Linked DNA regions of Cricetulus griseus. The protein of the gene in region 2 binds, or shares a complex with, the protein of the main gene of each other region. Links are inferred from orthologs where the notes say so. Each region holds a gene or a part of one and is shown on either strand. Other genes may lie near its edges.

The links.
Region 1: the proteins of Rab11a (region 2) and Myo5b are in contact, whole or in part, in a crystal structure (PDB 4LX0), measured with the Homo sapiens proteins. The link is inferred for Cricetulus griseus from reciprocal best matches to the Homo sapiens genes RAB11A and MYO5B. Residues at the interface, in NP_004654.1 of Homo sapiens: Leu11, Lys13, Arg33, Glu35, Ile44, Gly45, Val46, Glu47, Phe48, Ala49, Thr50, Gln63, Trp65, Glu71, Arg72, Tyr73, Arg74, Ala75, Ile76, Thr77, Ala79, Tyr80, Arg82, Gly83; in NP_001073936.1 of Homo sapiens: Ile1627, Gln1628, Gly1629, Leu1630, Trp1706, Met1710, Arg1713, Tyr1714, Ser1717, Gln1718, Glu1721, Arg1724, Gln1745, Leu1747, Gln1748, Leu1749, Lys1750, Lys1751, Glu1755, Ala1759, Leu1763, Tyr1779, Glu1786.
Region 3: the proteins of Rab11a (region 2) and Rab11fip3 are in contact, whole or in part, in a crystal structure (PDB 2HV8), measured with the Homo sapiens proteins. The link is inferred for Cricetulus griseus from reciprocal best matches to the Homo sapiens genes RAB11A and RAB11FIP3. Residues at the interface, in NP_004654.1 of Homo sapiens: Arg33, Ile44, Gly45, Val46, Glu47, Phe48, Ala49, Thr50, Trp65, Arg72, Arg74, Ala75, Ile76, Ala79, Tyr80, Arg82; in NP_055515.1 of Homo sapiens: Asn731, Phe732, Gln735, Ile738, Asp739, Arg740, Ile742, Val743, Met746, Glu747, Pro750, Ser751, Leu753, Glu754, Val755, Lys756.

Annotation. Positions count from the first base shown.
Region 1 is NC_048595.1:165,305,168-165,309,731, reverse strand, and holds the start of Myo5b (unconventional myosin-Vb), read left to right. Parts: upstream 1-1,328; coding exon 1,329-1,338; intron 1,339-2,760; coding exon 2,761-2,894; intron 2,895-4,564. UniProt on the Homo sapiens protein: May be involved in vesicular trafficking via its association with the CART complex. The CART complex is necessary for efficient transferrin receptor recycling but not for EGFR degradation.
Region 2 is NC_048597.1:176,352,340-176,356,809, forward strand, and holds the start of Rab11a (ras-related protein Rab-11A), read right to left. Parts: upstream 3,004-4,470; 5' UTR 2,883-3,003; coding exon 2,843-2,882; intron 1-2,842. UniProt on the Homo sapiens protein: The small GTPases Rab are key regulators of intracellular membrane trafficking, from the formation of transport vesicles to their fusion with membranes.
Region 3 is NC_048600.1:45,614,607-45,618,626, forward strand, and holds part of Rab11fip3 (rab11 family-interacting protein 3), read right to left. Parts: intron 2,504-4,020; coding exon 2,400-2,503; intron 1-2,399. UniProt on the Homo sapiens protein: Downstream effector molecule for Rab11 GTPase which is involved in endocytic trafficking, cytokinesis and intracellular ciliogenesis by participating in membrane delivery. Recruited by Rab11 to endosomes where it links Rab11 to dynein motor complex.

The DNA.
Region 1 (4,564 bases), on a different chromosome or scaffold from region 2:
TTACAGTTTTCCTACAGGTTAGTAGTAAGAACGCATGACAAGAGAAGGTTTGCATACTCCATGGTTTTGGACCCTCTCTAGTACAACAATGTGGTGGACTTTAGGGGAGGGTTGCTGTTTGGTTTTTATAATTTTTTTAAATTACAATTATGTCATTTTCCCCTTCCCTTTTCTCCCTCTAACTCATCCCATGCCCCCACCCCAGCTCTCTCTCAAATTCATGGTCTCTTTAGTTATTGGACTATATATATGAATATATATGTGTGTATACACACACATATTCCTTAATACACAAATACAATCTGCTCCACCTATAATGTTACCTGTATGTATATAATCTCTGGGCTGACCACTTGGTATTAGATAAGCAGTTTGGGGCTCTTCTCTCGGGAAGACCACTTCTCTTTTCCTTTGGAAGATTGCATGGCTCTTTCTGGTACCATGAAAGGTAGTCCTCCAGGAGGTGGCTTTAAGTCAATCCTAGCTCCAGTCCTCTGGGTCTTGCATCTGAAGGGCATGATGTCTTCAGCAATAAGGACTTACTTTCCATCTCTGGGGGCAGGAAAGGGGAATCTCTTGGACAACCCTGACCAACAACTCAAAAGGGGAGTCTCATGCTTGGGAGTTTTTGTTAGTCTATGGCCCTTGGAGGAAGTGTTGTCAGTCCACATGAGAAGATTGCATTTCAATTGTATATGTGTATGTGTACACAGAATATATATATATATATGTATATATATATATACATATATATATAATCTCTCTGCCTAAATTATGATATATAATTTTAGGCAGGGAGATAACAGTATGCTTCTTTATAACTTTTTCATACATTATTACTGTATTTATCTTTCCATTTTGCCCCTTTCCCTCTTCAGGTCAACTGTACCCTGCTACTCCCCTCTGTTGCTCTCCTCCTGCACTTTCGTGGTTGCTGCACTTGCTCCAGGCTTTATACTCACATCGTTTTAACTGAGAGCAAATATTTCATGCATGCACTCTGTCTGGCTGTATAGCATTTGCGTCACTCCTGGAGATGTCTCCTTCAAATCCCTTTCCTCTCCACAGCCCCATCACACCTGGCTACCCTCCCCTTCTCAAGTCCCTTGCTAGTTACTGTGGCGTCTCTCCCTTTCCAGTCTGTGGGTCTGCTTTCTTATTGTTTATTTTGTGCTGGTGATACTTTGTGCATATTTCAGAGACCATGCCTTACCTTAAGTCATGTGGGCAAGTGAGGGTGGCAGTGTTTGCAAAGCTAGAATGCAAAGTTGGTGTATCATTAAATCACCCTTGAACGTGCTGTAAATTGCCCATTGTGTGTGCTAAGTATGATGTTGGGTGAGTGTCCCTGTTGAGTAATTTGTAGGAGCTTCAAGTGGAGAACCCATAGAGGATAAATGTAAGAGGCCAGAGGCACGGGGAAGCCAGCCTGTAGATGCAGCCACCCTGCATTCAGAACAGAGGAGAAATGTCACACAGGTTGTTATTGGAGGGAGACTGGGAAGATTTATGATAGCATGTGGCACGGACTGGCACAGGCTACTCGCCAAGTGTTTACTGGATTTTGGTCTGAGGTTTGTCCAGTAAGATCTGAATCTGCAATGCCTTCCTAAAGCCACATTAGAACGAAGCTGCCTGGTTCTTCTTTCTCAGCCAGATATATCTTCCCTGCCCTCCTTGTCTCTTCTGCATGGACTGAGTAGCCATTATCCACCCTGACCCCCAACACACACACACACACACTTAGGAGTTGTCCCATCACTCCTTCAACTATATTTTGATGAGTATCACCTGCCCTACTAGGTAGGTTCCTGAAGTTTGGGCAGTTGATTTCCATGTCTGTACTGGATTATGTGGTGCTCAGGGCAATATATTTTAGGTAAAACCAGGCTCCCCTATAAGATGCATTCCATTTTTAATCACTGAGCACACCTGCTAGATGTGCTGAATCCTAAGGATTCAAAGTAATGTGTCTAGAAGATCTTGCAATCATGAAATGAGACTCACTTGAAAGAAATGACTGTGAAGCCAGAAAGGAAGCTAATCAGACAGATTTACTATGGTCTCAAAGGCTAACTTTTTTGATGATAGTAGTCAATAAAAAGGTGATGATAGTCAGTGAAAAGGTGATCATAGTAGTCAGTGAAAATGTGTGGTTGAGGATGTTTACATCATGGTGGGCCACAGAGTCAGAAGACAGTGGCTGGATCAGAGCAAGGGATGAAGGCAGGTATAACCATCACAACCCCCCCCCACAAGTCCACTAGTGTCATGATTTCAGCTAGGCCAAACATCCTAAAGGGTCAGGGCCTCCTGGATTAGCAGGTCCAGGGTCCAAAATCATTTAGAGCATGAGGAGATATTTTGGATTTATACCATTAACAGTGGGTGCCTTTGACTTGTTGGCCACTTCCACTGAATGTAGACTGTGAAGTCTTGCTGTGCTTCCCTGTGTTTGACCAGTATTATTTTACTAATTATAACATGCTCCATCCTTCTGTTTTGTGTCTCCTTTTAAAAGGGTGGTAAGCCTGTGTTGAGCTGTCTCCTGAAAGAATTTTAATGTGACTATCACGTTTTCTTAAGACTGAGAGGGTGCTGTTGTAAACTAGTCCTATGAACTATTTATTATTTATAATATTGAATCATCTTGTGTCTTTAGTGGGACTCATGGTATATGGATGTTGCTGTAGAATATTTTCCTGACAACTCCTTTATAGATGCTGACACATGCTTTGGATGCTTTGCTTTGTGTCTAAGTCTCTTTTCTTCTCATCTTTCAGTACACAAGGGTCTGGATCCCTGACCCAGATGAAGTGTGGCGCTCAGCTGAATTAACCAAGGACTACAAAGAGGGGGATAAAAGCCTGCAGCTCAGACTGGAAGATGACACAGTAAGTGCTGGTCCTTAGGGTGGGCGCCCAAAATATATGGACTTAGATTTGCCTGCCCGTTGGTGTTTCTGAATTCCAAATTCTTCTGTCATTGTTAATGATAGTGTATGTGAAAAGTGACAAACCATGAGTCTGCCCACTCATGTTAGCAAGTGGAGTTTGACTGGTAGCTGAGACAAGAGTCTTTATGTTGGAGTGAAGAGAACAAGTCTGCTGTGTTGAGGCATCAGCAAGAGGGAACAATCCCTGGGAACAGAACAGGTGGTGGGAGCCTGGGCTCAGGGTACCTTTGGCCAACAGTGGGTAATGTTAATGCAGGATCTACGTGTGCCCAGTGCCCGAGACCCCAGTGTTGCATGTGCACAAGGGAAGGAAGGCAGACCAGTGATCCTGGGACCCAGGAGGCCTGAGGCTGAGGTGACAGACAGCCATTTTACAAAGGGTACACACAGGGAGCCTGGTTTTAAACAAAGTGGTGGGATGACATGAAGAACTGGCTTTAAGACAGACAGATGGCTAAATGGATGGGCTGCAGAGCAGGATAGAGTGAATGAAAGGTTTGTGTTGAAATCCAGGGCCTGGAATGTCTATATTGTGTCCTTTGCCTGTGAATTATTAACTGTCTTGGTGTTGTTCATTCTTCGAAGTATTTTGTTCTGTTTCCCACTCCAAATGCTTGGTTGAGCAACCTGTTGATTGAACATTCTCCAACCACCAACCCGTGCTGTATGAATTCGAGTGTGTCACTTTGAGTATGGCACTGGGGCAGGTGAATTCAGGTTGGTTAGCATGTCCTTCTCCCTCTAGCTGACAGGCTTTGCTAGTCATATCTTGGCTTTGAGGGAAGAAACAAAACTGTCAGCAGATGGAATCTTGTTTACCATTTTGAATAACTTCCCACCCTGCCCCTGAAACAAAATGAATTTAGTCCACCCGCTTGAATAGAGTGGATTCTACTCCAACAGATTTCATTTCAGTTGGTCTTTTCATGTGGGTGGGTGTTGTTAAAAGCTGTATGGAGGAAGCAAGGGCTGATCTGTCATGTTGCTAAAACAGCAGATACTTGTGTCCTTGACTGCACACAGCTTTGGCCCTGAACGACAAATCTTGGAAGCTGCCCATGGCCCATCTTTTCCTATCCGGCTATGAGACTGGTCACGGTGGAACTGGAAGAAAGCCCCGGGCTGGAGATCAGCATAGGCTCTGAGCATACAAGTCTCTCTCTCTATTGCCTGTGGCTTACGGCTGGCATAAAGCTGGCCCCAAAAGTGACTGGGCACTGTCCACTGGAGGTAGGGACACAGGCACTGCATGGCTGGAGGCTGAGTGCTTGAAGAGCAGTTCTTCTGAAGCTGAAGCCATCCTGTACTACCATCCTGACCTCCCAGCCCCCAAAGTAAAATGCTGTTGGTTTTAGTGCAGAAGCAAATGCAAAGAGGGTAGGCCAGATTTTTTGCTAGGAAATCCAACCCCAGGCTGATAGCAGGAATGCCTACTTCACTGCCAACAGCCGCCTCTGATGAGGTATTCAGGCCTCTCACCATTCATCTTAGATGCCCCTCCCACTTTTGTTCGGTTATTTCTTCTAGTAAACTGTAGAATATAAATGTAACCAGGCGGTCCATTTCTAAGTGAACAATTCAGTGCCATTTGCACTACTGCAAATGGTT
Region 2 (4,470 bases):
TTCATGCTAAATGTTACAAACTCCAATTTCCTTAACTATGCAGTGTGCTAAGTTAGCCTTCTCCAAAGTAGAAATGCTTTGGTTCATCTTAGAATAAATCTCTCTGGAATGAAATCATTTTAAAATAATTGTATAAGTAAAAAATTGGCTAAGTAATCAGTGTTGAAATAAAAAATAAAGTGACTCATATCCTGTAGCAGTTTCTAAAAAGTGGAAACTCTTCTCAGCAGATTTTTTTTTTGGGGGGGGTGGGTTTCGAGTCAGGGTTTCTCGGTGTAGCTTTGGAGCCTATCCTGGCAGTCGCTCTGGAGACCAGGCTGGCCTTGAACTCACAGAGATCCACCTGCCTCTGCCTCCCAAGTGCTGGGATTAAAGGCATGTGCCACCAATGCCTGGCAAATTTTTTAAACATCCAGTCTTATACGACAAAAAAATAAAAAATAAAACCAGAACCCACAGAGATACAAAATAATTCAGAAGTTTCTTAGTTCTTCTGTGCTTCTTTATAAAACTTACATGTTCTTTAACATAAAGATTGATTGTTTAGTGAGATGGCTCAGTGGGTAACGGTGCTTCCCATCAAGCCTGATGACCTGAGTTCCACCCCTGAGACTGACACAGTGGAAGAAAGTAACCGACTCCCCAAAAGGTGTTCTCTCACCTCCTCACGTGCCATGTGCACATTATCACACACATCAATAAATGTCGTTTTTAAACATTTAAAAAGATTTATGGCTCAAGAACTAACAAGAATTGTAACAATTTCATTTATATCATTTACTGAATCTTCACAAGAGCTAAATTTTACAATCTCACTTATTCCTCAAAAAGGTATCACAGGATTTCCTTTACTGAGGAAACTGAGGCTTAAAAAAAGTTGAGCAGGGGGGAAATAATTATAATTTCAAAAAATAAAAAAATTACTTTTGAAAAGTTAACTTTTCCAAAGTCACAGGCAAATATAAAGCCCTAGTGTTTTCTCCACAATCTAGGATAAATTAACACTCCTAGGAAAAATAAACAGCTTTCTATAGCCAACCTTCACATTCCAAATCAAATAGAAATAACTTCGAAAGAGACTAGGTACTCACTGTCATTACGAAGTACTTAAGTAAACCAACCCCAAATGCTCCTGGGATTTAAGTAATTTCACATCATCTCAGATGCCTTCAGCATTCTAGGTCTCCAATTTGTTTTGGGTTTGGTTTTGATTTTTTGAGACAGGGTCTCACTATGTAACTCTGGCTGGGAACCCACACGATCAACCTCCCTCTGCCTCCTGAATGCTGGAATTTTAAAGGCTAACTACAGCACACCAGGTTTTCCTATTTGTATTTTTAAAGTTTGGTACCTTACTAACTTACCATATAAACAGACTATCCCGGGGGCTAAATAATGATAAGGGTGTACCAGCAGCTAATACACCAAGACTTGTAAAAGTATATGGTATCGCAAAAGAAGTGTATCCTGCTTCATCATTTCGTCAGTCACTCTTAGCACCCAATGGCAAAGCCAGAAACACCATGCTTCACACTCTTGAAACTCCACCCTCCACAGTAAAGCTTTAATAGCAAAGCTTCTTCCTCTCTGGTAATGATCTTTGTTCAGCACACTACTGATGGCTGCCCTTCTAAATCAGGAGCAGAGCAAGACTACGAAAGTGAGAGCGCATTCATGAACAACAACAAAAAAAGCGTTCACTGTACTCTCTTTTCGCTGGGAACTGTATCCTTTCACTTTGGCTTCTTTCCGGACTCAACCAATAAGCAATTCTCTATCTACTCCCCATCCTCCCATGTCTGTCCACCCGCTTCGCATTTTCCCCTACCTTGCAATAAATTCTTAATTTCACTAAAAGAGCACGCCACCACTATAACCCTCTCCCACCGTTGGGGAAAGGTATGTGACCAACCAGGGCTCTTCCCTTCCTGTTGGATCCTCCCAGTATTGCAGCAGGAAGCAACCAGTCCATAGTGATAAGCTAGCTAGTATTTGTGCAGCGCACAACCTTTCCTGTCCAGGAACTGGGCCTTCAGGTCTGGCAGGGATAACAGCCACCACCCATCCGCAGCCCCTTCACGAAAGCCAAGTAAAGGAGTTATCTGGGTCTGGTTGTAGCTGAGCAGGGACACGAGAAGGAAGGGGGTTAAAAAGGCGAGGTGGGAAGTCATCTGCCTGCCTGGACACTGCGACAAGTGCACGCACGCCAGGGGTGATGGACAGGCCCTCTTGCCCTCCCTTGGTCTCCCCTCCCACCAGCCAGGTCGCACCGCAGCTCTGAACGTTAGGTGAAAAGGAAAGGCACAGAGTTGCCCATCTGCGGGGAGGGAGAGGTCAGTCCGCGGATACTGACCTCGAGGTCTGCAGGGATGGGGGTGGGGGCCCTGGGATGGGCGAATCTGGCCGAAGCCCAGGAAAGGCTCACTCGGAGGGAGGGGAAACGAAAGGAAATGAAAAGGAAAAAAGACAACAAACAAACAAATAAACAAGCAAAAACCCCGTAGAGTCGGTGCCCCAAAATGGGTGCTGAGCCTAGGCAGGGGCCTGTCAGAGGGGGATGTGAGGCCGGCAGCGTGCATCCAAGAGGAGGGGCCCGAGATGCCCAGGGAAGAAACTGCCAGACCGTGAGGAACGCAGCCATCGGGGAAGACACACAGTGAGGGGCGACGCGGCCCGGCAGCCCTCCCCGAGGCGCAGGAACTGCGCCGGCCGGCGGGACCCCCGTCGGGGCAGCAGGGAGGAAGCTGAGGCGGGCTCCGTCCAGGGCAGGGCTCTAGCCCTCGCGCGGGTCCCCCGGGAGTGTCTCGGGCCCGAACAGGCACTCGGCGGCCCAAGCACTCACCTTTAAAGAGGTAGTCGTACTCGTCGTCACGGGTGCCCATGGCGCGGCCGAGGAGCTGAGGGGCGGGAGCGGCGGAGGCGACAGCGGCGGGACCAGGGGGCGTCGCTGCAGGGGTAACCCGAGCGCCGAGCTTCAGCTGCCGGACCCGGTGAAGAGCCCCGCCCTGCCTCTGCGTCACTTCCGTCAGGCCCCAGTCCCTCACAGGAAGGACTTCCGGAGAAGTGGCGCCCCGCCCCTGATGTGTGCACGGGAGTGGACTCCGCACTCTCGGCCGGCTTCGGAAGGCTTACATGGAACAGTCTTAAAATGCCCAGCTAGATACAGTCCTACGGGCCTTTGGCTTGTTCTTTCCTTAACCATGCAGGGAAGAGAGGCATAGTGTTTGTTTCCGGTCGAGGGGGGGGTGGGGGCGGGGTTTTGTTACCATTAGACTCCCAAAGATAGTGCTGCTTCTGTGCTGGTTCCATGGTGTAATGGTTAGCACTCTGGACTCTGAATCCAGCGATCCGAGTTCAAATCTCGGTGGAACCTGTTTCTTTAGTCTTTTGTTATTATATTTATTCTTAATTCACATTGAATGACAGAATAATTGTATCTGCTTTTGGATATAATACATATAGTATTTACCTATAAAGATTCACCAATGAATCTCTTCAGTTCAGTAGTGTCTGCTACATGGAGACCAGGACATTAAACTCTTACTTCATTTTAGCCTTGAAGGAAGCTTGTTTCTTGATTCCTTTTGCTGGAATTTTCTACCTTACGCTTCAGTTAAGGATAAGCACTTCTCTTCAGAAATCTCTTACACTATCTCCAAATGTCATTAAGAGAACGTCACCCACCATCCTCATAAAGATCCATCAAGACCTTGAGTCTTATCTGCTGGCCTCCAAGCTAAGCCAGGTTAAATAAATTTAACACAGAGGACAGCAACTTCCATTTTAGCGAATGTCAATGTTAAGACTCAAGTGATTTGCTATAACGTCTCCTCATAGTTGTTTTGTTCTTATTGTTGTTTGAGGCAGTCTCACTCCCCTCTGTAACCCAGAATGGCTTTGAAATCACTGTGTAGCCCAGGCTGGGCTCTGCTATGTTCCTCTGCCCCCTCTCACCCCACCCTCTAAACACACAGAGGAATATTCACCCAATAATTCCTGGGAAATGTATGTTAGGTCATGGGAAAAGAGAATTCAGCTTACAGATGGAGTTCAAGTTGCTAATCAACTGACCTTAAGCAGGGATATTATCTTTGATAATCTGAGTAGACTCAGGGTTGTCCTTAGCGTCTTCCCAAAGTGGAAAAGAGGGGGTTGTCAACAGGGATGTGGTGCTCCTCCAAGTTGCCACCAGCCACCTGAGGAGAGGGAGCTGGATTCAGAGAAAACCTGACTCTTGACTTTGCTTCATCTCAGCGTGATAAAATATGAAATGGAATTGGAATTTATTAAAAGAGATTTTCATATAGATTCTAAATTCTATGGTTAAGAGGCAGTGAGGGTCTCAGAAAGAAAGACATAGCCAAGAGAATGAGCTTTTCAGAGAGTCCTGCCTTGTCTTTACAGGCTCCATATCCACCAAGGATTTCAAATCTATCATCTTCAAGGAGTTGCTGAAGAATCTGAGATCAT
Region 3 (4,020 bases), on a different chromosome or scaffold from region 2:
GATTCTCTGAAGGGCTGGCAAGATGGCCTGGCATGTAGAGGTGCTTGCCATCAAGTCTAACTACCTGAGTTTGAGTCCCAGAAACCACAGGGTAGGAAAAAACCAACTGCCTCAATCTGTACACACACACACACACACACACTTCTCAGAGTTAAAGACTGAAAGTCAATGCTCAGCACAGAAACCTGACAGCCACATGGAGACATCCAGGGAATACAAAGAACAGCAGCACAGGCTCCTTCCTAGGAAGGTCAGCCACATTCAGAACACATCTCCAAGGGCTCCTGATCCCCTCGCCTCCACCTCCTAAGTGCTGGGATTACACGACCCCAGACATGGCTCCTTATCAGTTCTTTCTAAAAGATTTATTTTTAGTTTATGTGCATGTGTGTTTTGCTTCCATGTATGTAAGTGTGCCACGTGTGAGTTTATGCCCATGAGGAGCTGGAGTTGTAGAGTTGTGAGCTGCTACGCAGGTGCTAGAAACTGAACTCAAGTCCTCTGCAAGAGGAGCAAATGCCACATCTCCATCCCCTTGGTTTCTTTTCATTTCTGGCCCCCCTCCCCTTGTTTTTTATGTCACTGTGGTCCAGGCTCCCTTGGAACTCACCACATTCCTGCCTCTTTTCTTTTCTTTTTTTTTTTTTTAAAGAATTTGAAATGACCTTTATTTCTTTCTCAAAACCCCCCTCTTTTCTTTTGCTCTATGCAGACAGCAACTCTGCCACATTTCACCTTGCCCATGTGAGGAGATCATGCCACTTGCCTTCCTGTTCAATTTGCTTTTTGGTTAAGCAGCTTGAAAATGCTGAGGTCTGCAGAGGCCATGCCCCTGCACAAGATCTTCCTTACCTGTTCCTCCAGGACAGAGCTCTGTCCTCAGCCCCACAGCCCTGCTGTCCTCTGAGGCCCTGGACAACCATGTAAGCTGCACTAACTCCATTTTCTCATCTGGAAAACAGAGAAAGTGTCTGCCTCCCACAGTTACTGAAGGATAAATGAGGGGAGCAAGAGCCTCAACACAGGGCCAATGCCACGGCTGGAATGTTTTCCCTGGGGCAGGTTCTCAGAAACAGAGTCATCAGAGGCTCCCATTCTATGAACTGGCTGCACATGGACCCTGGGTCAGTTCCACAAAGAGTACCAAGTGCTTCAGAAAACTGACCTGTAGCCTTTAATCCCAGCACTCAGGAGGCAGAGGCAGGTGGATCTCTGTGAGTTTGACTCCAGCCTGGTCTACAAAGTGAGTTCTAGGATAGCCAAAGTTACACAGAGAAAGCCTGTTCTGAAAAAACAAAACAAAACAAAACAAAAAACAAACCAGAAAAGCGGCCTCAAGGCTCTGGGTGCAGCGACGCCCTCCAACTTTGAGGGTCTGTCTGGAACTCAGCCTCATACAGCACATGCTCCACTACTGAGCCCCTCCCCACATGATTTATTTATTGTTTAATTTTTGAAAGATTTGTTTTATTTTTATTTTATCTGGGTGTTTTGCCTTCATGTATGTCTGTGCACCACATGTGTGCAGTGTCTGTGGAGGCCAGACGAGGCGGTGGATTCCCTGGAACTGGATTTACAGAGAGGTGCAAGCTGCCGTGTGAGTGCTGGGAAACAAGCGTGGATCCTCTTAGCTGCTAGGCCATCTCTCCAACACCTTGTTTTAAAAATTTTAAAATCTCGGTGTGTGTATGCAAGTGCATGAGCACGTGTGTGTTGTCAATGCATGTGGTGTCATCCTCAGGAACACTGTCCACTTCCTTTGAAGCCCGATTAGGCTACACTGGCTGGCCAGCAAAGCCCAAGGGTTCTCTTGTTTCTACCTCTCTAATTCTGGGATTACAACTGTGTGTCCTCATGCCTAGCATTTACATGGGATTTGGGGATAAAATCCAGGTCTCCATGTTTGCCAAGACAAACACTTTACTGGCTGGTACCATTTCTGATACCATTTCATATAGTCTAGGCTGATCTTGGACACACTATATACCCAAGAATAACCTTGAACTCGAGACCCTCCTACACTCCCCAAGTGTTTGGATTGTGCATATGCATCACAATGCCCAGCTCTCCATTTTAAGCTGTACCTCCCCAACTGCTTGTGATGGACAGAACTATCTCACATGCATTGAGTCAAGTAGTACCCTTGCTCACTTTTCTGGAACCCTACTGTCTATAATATTGTGGCAGATATCTGCCAGGGTAAGAGTATTCAGGTCAAAGTCTCAGATGAACCTGCCATAGACCTCTGGCCATATCTGGCACTCATCCAGTACCTGAATGGATGGATGGCCAGGTAGGAGCTAGTTCTCTGCAGATCCTGCTTGGTGAGGAAGAGAATACACAGGGCAAGAGTGATACTGTGATGGCTCCAGGCAGTGCCAGGCCACAAGCACACTCACCTGTGCACCAGCTGGAGGTTCTCTTGCCTCAGTCTGCCATGCTGCTCCCCAGCAGCTGCACTATCCTTCTCCAGCTCTGACACCCGTCTCTCCAGGAAGATGACCTAGGCAGAGAGATAAAGGTTTGAGGAACAAGCAGAAAAGTAGAAGCTGTGCCCCCAATGGAACATCTGCATGTCAGCATGGGGATTCCCATACCACCTGCCGAGTGGAGCCATGCTCATCCTTACAGACATCTTATAAACCCACAGCAGTGCGGCTCCCACAGGGTCACACTTGACGCAACAGAACAAGGCAAATGTCATTGGAAAATACAAGCCCTAAAGGGTACCAAGAGTACCTTCTGGCTTGTGCTTGGAACCATGAGGCTCACCCAGACACACATTCCCTTGTGAGATTCAAATGCCAGATAAAAAACACACAGAGGTGGCACAGATGTCTGAAGACAGTACAGATAGAAAGGTCCATGTCTCAGTCTTTTCCTCCTTCATGGGAGAATGTACTACGAGGAAGGATGGAGACAAGCAGAGGAAGGATTTAGCCTCAGAATACAACATAAGACTCTGAGGATTCTGAGAAGTGGGAGAGCAAAGGTAAGGCTGGGAGCAGTGAGAGATGAAGCATGGCAGAGAAGAGGCCTAGCAGAAATAGGAGGAGCCACGGCATTGTGAGGAGGAGACCAGGTAGGATACTAAGACAAAGCAGGCACAGGTGAATGCAAGGCAGAGTAAAGAGGAGATTAGGTGGCTAGGGAAACCTTAGTGGATATCATACCAGTACAGTGTGAAGAAAGGCAGGTGTACAGGCAAGTGAATTGAGTACGAAGAAGTTGGAGCTGGAAGACAGGGTGAGATGAGGTGCAGGGGAAGGCAAGGCCAGGCACAGATGCCTGGCAGGTACAGGAGGAACCATGTTAGGGTTGCTGCTGCCACCCTTACTAGACTCAGACTGGTCCTTGACAAAGGGACATGACCACAGTGAGGCTCCAGGTCAGGCTGCGGCAATGTACACAAGCCAAGCCCATGGGGGAGTTACCGCTCTGTGGAATTAAAAATGAGAATGGCCTTAAAGGACTCATGTATTTGAATAGTTGGTGTGATGGCTATTTTTGTTTGTTAGCTGACTACATCGGACATGAACTAAAACCCAAGCAGCAGAGTACATCTGTCAGTCCCAGCCCAGGAGGGTGTCAGCAGTTAAAGTAACAACATTAATTAATGACATTAAGAGTGAGATTGGGGGCTGGAGAGATGGCTCAGAGGTTAAGAGCACCAACTGCTCTTGCAAAGGTCCTGAGTTCAATTCCCAGCAACCACATGGTGGCTCACAACCATCCGTTATGAGATCTGGTGCCCTCTTCTAGTGTGCAGATATATTTGGAAGCAGAATGTTGTATACATAATAAATAAATAAAATCTTTAAAAAAAAAAAAAGAGTGAGATTGGGTAACTTGGGAAGGGGATGTGTGGGAAGACCCTATTGGAGCTGAGGACATTGAACCCTCAGGCTCTCAAGGGTTTATCTCACTTGAGGCAGTATTCTCTCCACCTCAGCAGAAGAAGTACTCCCACCCAACACTCTGAAATATGGCCTATTCTGCCTTTGACTGAGGAAATTAATC